Linked DNA regions of Ovis aries. The protein of the gene in region 2 interacts with the protein of the main gene of each other region in a pairwise test. Links are inferred from orthologs where the notes say so. Each region holds a gene or a part of one and is shown on either strand. Other genes may lie near its edges.

Region 1 (3,652 bases), on a different chromosome or scaffold from region 2:
CTTAAAAACTCAAAGCAGTGGTTCTCAAACTTTTTGATTTTCAGGATGCTTTCATATTCTTAAAAATTATTGAGGATATCCCAAAGCGTTTGTTTGCTAGGCTGTATCTGTCAATATTTATTGCATTAGAAATCACAGCTGTGAACATCAAAAATATTGATTTACAAATTCATTTAAATAACAATATTTATTGTATTAGAAATACAATATCTACATTTATAAACATTTATTGCATTAGAATCTATTTTATATTTATCAGTATTCATTGTATTAGAAATTACAACTGAGAACATTCAAAAATATTTATTTACTAATTCATTTAAACAACAATAAATCTATTCTGTCAGTATAAGCGACAATTTAATACAAAATTACCACATTTGTCAAAATGAAAAATTAGTGAAAAGTGGGAATGTTTACACTTTCTGCAAATATTTTTAATGCTGGCTTAATAGAAGACAGCAGGACTCTCCACTGTACTTTCCACATTCCATCAGCCGTGAAAGCAATTACACCGTCACACGGCACATGGCTTCACTGGAAATCTCCACTGTGCACTTGGGAAAGAATGAGAGTGAAAAAGGCAATGATGTCTTCATATTACCATGAAAATGCTTCAACATCAAAGATGCTCCCAGAACACACATCGAGAAAATGGACCTAAAGATTAATGAAAAGCAAAACTAGAAGCAAAAAAAAAACAAAAACGGATTAGTCAAGATAGAGCAAAAGCTGCCTTTAAAAAAAGTGAGTGAAAGTGAAGTCATTCAATCGTGTCCAACTCTTTGCAACCCATGGACTGTAGCTCACCAAGCTCCTCTGTCCATGGGATTCTCCAGGCAAGGATACTGGAGTGGGTTGCCATTTCCTTCTCCAAGGGATCTTCCCAAACCAGGGATCGAACCCAGGTCTCCCGCATTGCAGGCAGACGCTTTAACCTCTCAACCACCAGGGAAGCCCTAAAAAAGAAAGAAAGAAAGAAAGCTCAAGAAAAACATTGTATAGTGGATAAACTGCTGCACAGTTATACTGATTTATTCAGTGTTTACTAATTCAAAATTCGTCGTGGTTTCGTTAACAGCCAAACTGAAGGTCATCTTTGCTTAGGCTGAAAGTGAAAATGAAAGTGTTAGTCGCTCAGCCGTGTTTCGATTCTTTTTGATCCCATGGACTGTAGCTCTCCAGGCTCCTCTGTCCATGGGATTCTTCAGACAAGAATAGTGGAGTGGGTTGCCATTCCCTTCTCCAGGGGATCTTCCCGACCTGCTTAGGTCAGTAGTTCTCAAAGCATGACCCTGGGGCCAGGAGCATCAGTGAGACCCCAAGATCTTCCTGGAGATGCAAATCCCCAGGCCCCACCTCACACCTGCTGAATCAGAGACTCTGGGGTGGTCCCTGCAATCTGCATTTTCATAGCTGAGGCTGATAAATGCTAAAGTTTGAGAACCACACTGGCTTAGATAATCCTTCCTTCTTTCTGGAGAAAAGATGACAGAGAGAATTTTCAGTCCCATGAGAACAGTATTTTTCTAAGAGCCATTAAAAATAATAGGATCCTTGTCTTGCAAACAATACTTAATACTGATTAGAGATTCACAAAAGAAAGTCTTCTAAGGACATCTTTGAGCAACAAATCAGCTCAGTTTAAGTTATTATGACAAATATAAAAATAAACATATACATTTTTCTGACTCAGATTAGCCTTCTAATAATTAATAAAGTTGCACTACAGATATTTTAAGACAGGCCTACAAAACCGGAATAGAGCAGATGTGCTCTGGCTTGTGAGGATTATCACTACCAAGACAGGCTTCCAGCTGTCTGCCAAAAAAGCCATCTGAACTGCAAATACAAAATACAGGTTCTCCAAACACATTGATACGAGGCTCTCATGTTGTTCTTAACGATTGTTAATAGATATATTTGGTGATCATTTTGCAAGACATACAAATATTGAATCTTTATGCTGTACACCTAAAACTAGTGGAGTATGCTATCTCAGTAAAAATGTTTGTAACTTTACAAAATTACTGTGTGCTACAATGTAGGTTTTGCCTTGTAAACCAAATATGCAGCTGTATTATCTATTTTACTGCTGAACAGGCAGACATGGCATGAAAAGGCTGAGATCCCACTCAGAAATTCTTTTCTCAGAGGAAGCTTCGGATGATCGGTCATGTATGCATGCCTGCATGTGGGCTGTTGCTTCAGTCGTGTCTGACTTTTTGCGACACTATGGACTGCAGCTCACCGGGTTCCTAGGTACCCACAAAATTCCCACATTCATTTGCAACTCTACCAATATAATCGCAAGAGGCCAGGAATGGCTGTTCTTTAATGGGAGTATCTGAGACCCAAAGAAACTCGTCCAAAACTGTGGCACCTTCTCCACTGTTTCTCTCTTTTTGGTTAATTCTCTCCGCCAACAAATTAGGGTATGGGCCACGCCCAAATACGCCTCAGCAGACTATTAGAAACTCCTGAAATTCTGCCTTAGAGATTCTGAATTTGTGATAATACCTTGGCCACATCTGACTGTATTACATCCTCTAAGATCTCCTTGAGTTGAGCTATCTCACATTTAGGGACGCAATTTTGCTCCTCACTCCTTGCAACCTGCTGCTGACGTGTTGTGTTTTCATTTTTTACTTTGTCAATCTGCTGCTGGAGTTCTGCATTCTTAGCTTTTTCACTGTCGGATAGGAATTTCACCTTCTGAACCTGAGTGACCAATTTCTCGAGTTTAGATTTCAGATTCTCTCTTTCATCCAGGTGTATCCTTTCACGTTTCTGAAATTCCTCCCGTAAAGACAGGAACTCTCTTCCGGTCTCTCTCTCCCTTTTCAACGAGTCCAGAGCGGCACTGGTGGCCTTTTCCAGCTCTCCTTTGAGCTGCTGCAGGCTTTCTATCTCTTCTTCTTTCTTGCTCAAGGTGCTGCCCATCTCCATGCAATGAGTCATGTACCTTTCCTGCAGACTAACATAATTGCCCTTGAGTTTCTTAAACTCTGCCTGTAAGGTTTCCTTCTCACTCCTGCATTCCTGAAGGTGGTTTTGGGTGGTAACTAAAATCTCGTGCAAACTCCGTAGTGTCTTCTCTGTATCACTCTTCTCCAGCTTTATTCTGTACTTTTCTTCAATTAGCTCTTCGACCTTCTCCTTTAGCTTATTGATGATGTCCACAAACACGTGCTGTTTAGTCGCATTCATCTGTAGTTCCTCAACCTTCTTCTCTAAATACGTGTTCTGACGCTCTAGGTCTTGGATCCGAGTTTCCTTTTCTTTGTTAGTACATTTTAATTTCCGTACAACTTCATTTAAAGCCATGTCCTGTTCCAGAGGTTGTAAGCTTTCCAAGCTCTGCTCTGAGTCAGGTATCACGCAGGCCTCCTGAGATGCTCCACCGCTCCAACACATGCCTGTAGGAGCCCAAGTTGAGCCCGTCTGTGGCCTCCACCCGCCTTTTTCTGGGACTTCCTTTTGGTGCCTGACTGACATCTCAGGAATATCCATAGAATTCTGTACTCCTTTGGAAGAACCTGCAATCTGTAAATTAGAGTAAATAAAATAAGTCTGAAATAGTAGAAAGATCATGAGCTTTGAGGTCAAAGAGAGCTGCCCTAATCCCTAAATTTGGTTTTCTCAGCTCTGA
Region 2 (3,652 bases):
AGGTGCTCCAAAATCTTATCATTTGGAGGGTTTTACTGCCTGTATGAAGCAAGGGGATGCAGATTCTTAGTAGTTTGAGGCAGTGTATCATTCTGTCTTGTTTCAAGCTTTTTCCAGGTTTCTCAGATTAGAGGAGGGAGTTTACAATAAAAAAAAAATGCTTTTCCCATGTGTTGGTGTTTCATATTCTTGAGATATGATTATCCTGTGATGTGAATGGAGGTGAACATAGCATTTTTAAAAAATAAGCTTTTTCTTGACTTGTCTGTAAAGGTTCCTGTGAAAGTTTTGAAGCTCTCTGCCTCAGTCTGACATTTTCTTCAAAGGACTCCAGATTAAAGAAGATAGACGCTGCAGGTGCACTGTTTCGATAAAACATTTGAAAGAGAACATGGTAAAGATGAATTCAAATGAGGTGCCAGCCACCCGTTTACCCTTTTGAGTTACAGGGGCCTGTGCTTGCTGATGAAAAGATGTTCTATTTGTCTTACTGGAGCAAAGGTGCAAAGAGGCACAGATCTCACTTGATAGAAAAGGCAATCCCATGTTGACTGTAGGATATAGTGGACCATATAAGAGTGCAAATTGATCACCTTCTAAGTTCTTTTCTGGACTTCAAATGGGAGGGTCTAATGCTAACTACTGTAGGTCATTACCTAGATATTTACATAATAGGTATGTATCTTTCATTTCTAGGCCATTTTGCTGAGTTTAATTAGTGAGTTTACTCCAGGAACATTTAAACTGTTTCTGGCTCCGGGTGCAGAGATTGTTACAGAGAGGTCACAGTGGTCTAGACATGAATTTTATTTCCTTTGCTTCTTAATGTTCTGTATTTCACACAATGGACATTGATGGCAGGAACGTAAGAATTGCCATGTAATTTTTACACCACTCTCTAATTTATGCAAACACTAAGTTCTCCAGTCTGAAAATGTGTATTTTTCCCCCTCTGTGCTTTGATGGCTAACATTCTTTTTAATGACAGTCATTTCTATAACAGGAAGATGTTTTCATTTGTATTTACTTTTCAGCATGTCGCAATTATGCAGTTTTGCGCTTCATTCGTGTCTCGGTACTTTGTGTCTCAAAAGAGAATTACAGTACTTAGAACAGGACTGCAATTTGAAGCAGGTGTTGTGTTTTACTGTTATGCAAAATAACAGTAAAATATAATTGTGGGGGAAATTAAGGAAACAGCTGCAAACTTGGTATGAAAACTGCTACATTATGATTTGTAAGCAGTTCTTATAGATATCTTACATCAGAGAAGCAGGCAAAGATTTTAATTTCGTTAATCCTACTGGCCTGGTTGTCTGTCAGCCAGTGCTTAGAGGACTCATACCTCCCATGAAGTCAGGAAGAAGAAAGAGAACCCAAAATGACACTTTGTTTAAAATGCCAGAGCAGGAGGAATTCATGTCTTGGCAGCCCCATTGTGTGTTACGAACATAGGCAAGGTGGGTGTTATTTAGCTTGCTTTGCTAATATGAAGAAGGCAATGATTTGAGTAGAAGGCTGTGGAATTTCTTCACTCAGCTAGCATATGGAGGACTACACAAGCCCTGGGTTGTAAAATAATAAAATAAATGGCCTATGGCAAGCCATCTGCCTTTTGCTTGATATTTAAGGTGTTTCATGCCAAATTTAAATCTAATCTTATTATTCTAAATATTTTTATTTGAGATAGCATCTAAGATTCCCAGAACTTAATGGTGCACATGGTGAAAGTATTGTAATGCAGAGCGCTTAAAGTTAGAGAGTGTGGGTTAACCCAAGGGTATCCAAGGAGCATGCTGTCCCTTTCTTTAAAACTTCCCTGATCAATTGCAACAGCTTAGAGGCAGTGATGGGCTCTGCTCAGTCTTTGCGCACTGCTATAAAAATAAACATCCTCATTTCTGAACCCAGCGCAAGAAATAATATAGTGTCTTTTATACAAATAATCAAAATGAGCTGAAAAAGATTTTAAAGGATGAAACCAGCTACTGAGAATTATTGCAGCACCAAGCAGGAGTGAGGGGTTCCCTTGTAGCTCAGCTGGTAAAGAATCTGCCTATGATTCAGGAGACCTGGGTTTGATCCCTGGGTTGGGAAGATCCCCTGGAGAAGGGAAAGGCTAGCCACTCCAGTATTTTGGCCTGGAGAATGCCATGGACTGTATAGTCCGTATGGGTACAAATAGTCAGACATGACTAAGCGACTTGCAAGCAGGAGTGAAGCGGTAGATTCAATGGCCACCCTTCTTTACTGCTCCTTCTGGTCTTTAAGAGGCTGGTAATGAATGCATCCAAAATGGTGATCCAAGCCTGGATGTGTTCACCTTTCCCTTGAGTAACTGGATGGTTTTAAGAAACTACGTTACATGTAGCAAGAAGGATTTGGGTTAACATAAAGTTCTTGGCTGGAGTGGAATCCATATGTATACCATGCTTTTAGTGCCTATGTATTTTGGAACCACTGAAAAATTATATGTGATGTGTGCATATATTATGTGTACATCATAGTTACACACAGGTATCTGTGATGAACACAGCATTTTAAATTTACATTTGACATTGTGTTTTATGGCTGTGCTAAGCACCGAGGTTTCAAATTATTCTGTGACACCAACTTTGTACAGACCAAACATTCCAATTAGCAGGGAAGGTTTGGAAGACTCTCCACTTCGAGCTCCAACCATTTATAGTTAGACACCATGGCAACTGTGGATGTGCCCTTCCGTAATTCACGTTAAGTGGCATAATTATAATTAAAGAGGAAATCTTAGTTTGAACACCATTGAAATGGTTTGCTAGCAGCCAGCCGTGTCATTTGGAGTGTCATGTCCATTCTGAAGTACGTGCTGGATGGAGAGTTGGGAAAGGTTTTGTCCACGAAGCGACCACACAGATTAAGATTTTTCCTGAGCCAGTTTCACATCCAGGTGTCACATCTGACATTGTTTAGAACATCCTCTTTTTCTTTGTCCTCATTTTTTTTGTTTGTTTTGTTTTTTTCCAGAAACGCAGAGCAGTATTGATGAGTAGATCCTTGGGTTCAGAGGTTGGCTGAAACACACCATGCCCACTTCCATCCTTCGCTCTGGAAAGTTGTGAATTGCTCATGCCTATAGAGAGGAAGGATGGCACATGGGATTCCTTCTCAAGGCAAAGTTACCATCACGGTGGATGAGTACAGCTCCAATCCCACCCAGGCATTCACGCACTACAACATCAACCAGAGCAGGTTCCAGCCGCCACATGTACATATGTAAGTATCACTTGTGAACTTAAAAAAATTAGCCATCAGGGTATTAGAAAGTCGCTAATGACTTGGAGAATAAAAGATATATGCTTCACCAAACAGATGGGTTATCTGTGGTTCCAAGTACGGCTCAGAGGAATCCTCCGTGTCTGGGTAATGCTGCACCTTTCCAGAGTATGTACAGTCGACCATAATTTGCTGTTAGATCTTTAGAGCCCTCATGGGGTTGCCTGCATTTTGTGGCTGACAACAGAGAGGTTCAGATATTCACCTAATGTCACACAGCTAATTTTGGCAGATTCCCCTGATCCCTAGTTCAGTTTGCATTTACCTTGCATTGCTTGCTTCCCTGATGAAATGTCCTTAAAATTTCTGTAGTTTTTTTCCCCCCCATAACTCACCCCAC
Region 3 (3,652 bases), on a different chromosome or scaffold from region 2:
TAAAAAAAAAAAAAAGTTTTCTTTTTTAAAGAGGAAAAGGATGAGTATGAGCTTTCCTAGTTCTAATGCCTGGCACACAAGATGTGCACACACACACAAAACCACGTGTGATGGTGCCTCACAGCTGGGAGATCCAGTGAGTGTCACCAGCATTCTGGTGAGTTTTCAGTCAGCTCCTAAGGGCCAGAGGCTGAGCTGATGTTGGCAGCCAGGCCCTGCTTGCTGGGTAGGTTTTCAGTCTTACCCATTGCAGGTATAGGAGAGACTCCAGGCACCCACCGAGATCCACTCTCCCCTTCTTTCTTGGCATCTAGCTGCGTACATTCTCCAGGTGAGCCGTGTGACCGAGTTTTAGCCAATGGAAGTGAGGGAAGGGAGATGGGCCCTTTCCGGGTCAAGGTGTTGCTCGTAGAGTCTCACCTCTGGGCCCCTCCTCTTCTGCCCCTTCAACCATCAGCGTACAAACACAACGTGACTAGGGGACCACGGAGCCCCGAGAAGGAGGAAATCTGGGTTCCCGAGGGATGGCGTGGAAAACAGTCAGTGCTCTAGACTGATTATCCACCCAGGATTGACTGGTGAGGAGGAAGTACATTTGTGTTCAACTACTGACATCGGGAAACCTGTTGTCACAACTTACGCTCCCTAACACACAAGGCCTGCACATTTATTGTACCAACAGGCTAGATCCCACTCACTCAGACTCATTCATTTCCTGTGATAAAAAAAAAAGCAGAGCTCAGCCTCTTCTAGACAACTGATTGTGGCTTATGATCCAGGAAAAATGGGCTAATAAAAATCATAGGGGAATAAAAGTCATCAGTGAGAACTGGGAACACATAATTAATTCTAAAAACAAACTAATGCCTTTAACGGAGTTGATTTAGGTTTCATTTGCAGTTTTCCGTGAGATTGGTGATCTTTTTCTCTCTTTTTAACTAGAGTTAGCAGAGTAAGGAAACTTTTATTCAGTTGTACTTGGGGGAAACATTTGGGAAAAGTATTCAACGACTCAGGAATACTGACAGATGGCCTCAGAGACCTTCTGACCCATGTCCTCCTTTTCAGACAAGAGGTTCAGACACAGGACCTTGCCAGAGCCTACAGATGGCGCCCTCAGGGCCAGCGGTCACCCCTCTTGGCTGCCAAAGCCTGTACCTTCTACTGCAGTAGGGCTCTCATTGGGGCGAAGCGGAAAGCAGCGCAGTCACATTGGAGAACACAGGCTCTTTGAAATCAAACGCACTTGTGTTCACAGCTCACTACACCATGCACCAGCTCTGTGACCCTGGGCGAGTTCCTTACCCTTTCGGAGCCTTGAGACCTCTTTAGAAATTAGAGATAAGGACTTCTCCAATTATTCACTCATTTGCATGTTCACTCAACATTTAAAGATGAGTATTATTTGCCAAGAATGGTGATAAGCTCTCGAGTGCTCGAGTGATGCCGCAGTGGTGAGTGGTGGATATACAAGAGAGACAAGACCTCCAGTTTCATGAAGCTAACGTTTGAGTAACTGTGAGCTGGTTGTGAAAAACTCTAGACAGAGCGTGCTGACCATCAGCCATTCACCAATGGCTACGTTGTTCACATTCTTTCAGGACCCCCTCACCTGCCTGGTTGTTCTGGATACTTTTGCTTGGTGTAGGCCTCGAGGGTGGCATAGACCTTCTCTCGCAGAGTCTCTACCTCAGACGGGTTGGAGAGACCCTTCGCATCTGAAAAAGACAGCTGATTAAACCTCTGGTTACGCACCTCTGTGGAACACCCTGATACAGAGGCTGTCCCCATGCATATAGGCCACCTCCTGTCGAGTTACTAGAGACACACTGGACGAGGGGCACTGTGAAATACACAGAGCTGGTGCTTTGTGCCTGCCAATCTACCCAATAAACTCTTGAAGCAAAGGTACCCAGCGCTGACTCCAAGGAGGAGAGTTTCCTTTTATCTGGGCCATTGTGCATATACGACCTTTACACATTTATTGAGTGTTTGCTCTGTGCTAAGCATGGGCTGAATGAAAAGACAGGGAACAAAGCCCAGACGCAGCCAGGCCCTGCTTCCACTAACTGATCACCTGACTCAAGAGACGAAGTGTGTGCATCGGTCACTGTGTAGTTCTGAACACTCATCTTTCCGGACCCATGGCGGCCTCTGGTGGAAGCTGAGCTCTCGCTCCTCCTCGCAGTGCTTTTCCTCCTTGAGACCCCAGGACGTCATTCTCTGGTTCTTCCCTGTCTCACCCACTGCTCCCTCGCAGGCACCTTGGCTGTTTCTTCCTTTTCTGCACAACTTCTAAATGTGGCCATGCCCCCGGACCCAGTCCTCAGCCCTCTGCTCTGCTTCTGCTTCCTCCCTGGATGAGTTCGCACCAGCCTCCCTATACTTTCCACGCTAGGTATAGGCTGACAGCTCTCAAATGTGCATCTCTGGTCCTGCCTCTCCTCTGAACTCCAGAGTCACATGAATAATTGCTTCCTGGACAGCCGCTCTTGGACATCTACATCCATCTCAGAGTTTCATGTCCAAACACCTGCTTCCTAGCCACCCACCCTTAGAACCTCCGCTTCAGTCAATGAAAACTGTTTTCCAATTGTTCAGGAAAACAAAAATATTTAATGCCTCTCTTTCATATCCTAGGTACAATCTATCAGCAAAATCCCATAAGTTCCGCCAAAAAATATATGCAGAACCTGACTACTATTTTTTTCGTCTCGCATGGAAGTAGTTTACTTGAGGCAGTGACCAAGGGAAGAGGAGGGAGGGACCGGAAAAGAAAAAGCAGGGAAGGAAGAAAAGGCAACACAAGAGCACATGACTGGACTGATCACGGCCATGGGCAACCGGGACTCAGTCTCACAGGGACCCTCTTAGGAGGCATGTGGAATGGGCCGCAGAATTGTCCACTAGGGAAGGAAGATGGAAGCACTTATTTACTCACTAGCTTCTGTCAGCCCCTGGAGAACCTGACCATTTTTTACCACCTCCTTTACTATCCTAGGCCTCTATCATCTCCCACCTTCCCTACTGACCCCCAATGTGCACACTCCACGCCCATTTGAGACACTTTTCAAGATGCCTCAAGGAGCAGAGGCCATGCAGAGGCAACTCTGTCCTCCCCACGGACAGGTCTCCTGGCCCTGCCTTCTCCCCTCTCTGTCTCAGCCGAGCTAGAGGGCCAAATAACATCAGAGCGCTGGGGGCTGACCAGGGAGGAGGACAAAGATGCTGTCACCTGGGTTAAACAGCACGATGGCTCGCAGGCACCCCAGCTCTGACTTATCCATCTGCATGTCCTTCATTTTGGAGACCAGCTCAGTCAGAACTCTGTTCACAGGAAACAATGACAGGTAATGAGAAAATCACGAGCAGCAGACCAAAGGCTGATAAAAGGAATGCAATCAGTATTTATTATGGACCCACCCCGCCCACGTTTTCCAGTCAATGGGCCAGGTACTAGGGGCACAGAGATGAATCAGGTGCAGTCCCTGATCTCAAGGAGCTCTCAGTTTAATCAAAGCAACAGACACAGAAACAGCACATAGCAACAATGCCAAGGCAGTGACCGACATAATCAGAGTCCCAGGAAGAGGCAGGGAACTCAGAGAGGGGGCTGCAAAAGCAGCCGAGAGGTTTTGGAAATTGGTAGAAA

Evidence for each region.
Region 1: the proteins of MPPED2 (region 2) and CAGE1 interact in binary tests that used the Homo sapiens proteins (3 or more experiments, as listed by UniProt). The two-hybrid records come from large-scale screens. The link is inferred for Ovis aries from reciprocal best matches to the Homo sapiens genes MPPED2 and CAGE1.
Region 3: the proteins of MPPED2 (region 2) and RXRG interact in binary tests that used the Homo sapiens proteins (3 or more experiments, as listed by UniProt). The two-hybrid records come from large-scale screens. The link is inferred for Ovis aries from reciprocal best matches to the Homo sapiens genes MPPED2 and RXRG.

Annotation. Positions count from the first base shown.
Region 1 is NC_056073.1:47,139,708-47,143,359, reverse strand, and holds part of CAGE1 (cancer-associated gene 1 protein), read right to left. Parts: intron 3,547-3,652; coding exon 2,521-3,546; intron 1-2,520.
Region 2 is NC_056068.1:60,184,100-60,187,751, reverse strand, and holds part of MPPED2 (metallophosphoesterase MPPED2), read left to right. Parts: intron 1-3,003; 5' UTR 3,004-3,124; coding exon 3,125-3,252; intron 3,253-3,652. UniProt on the Homo sapiens protein: Displays low metallophosphoesterase activity (in vitro). May play a role in the development of the nervous system.
Region 3 is NC_056054.1:117,398,094-117,401,745, forward strand, and holds part of RXRG (retinoic acid receptor RXR-gamma), read right to left. Parts: intron 3,328-3,652; coding exon 3,236-3,327; intron 1,719-3,235; coding exon 1,613-1,718; intron 1-1,612. UniProt on the Homo sapiens protein: Receptor for retinoic acid. Retinoic acid receptors bind as heterodimers to their target response elements in response to their ligands, all-trans or 9-cis retinoic acid, and regulate gene expression in various biological processes.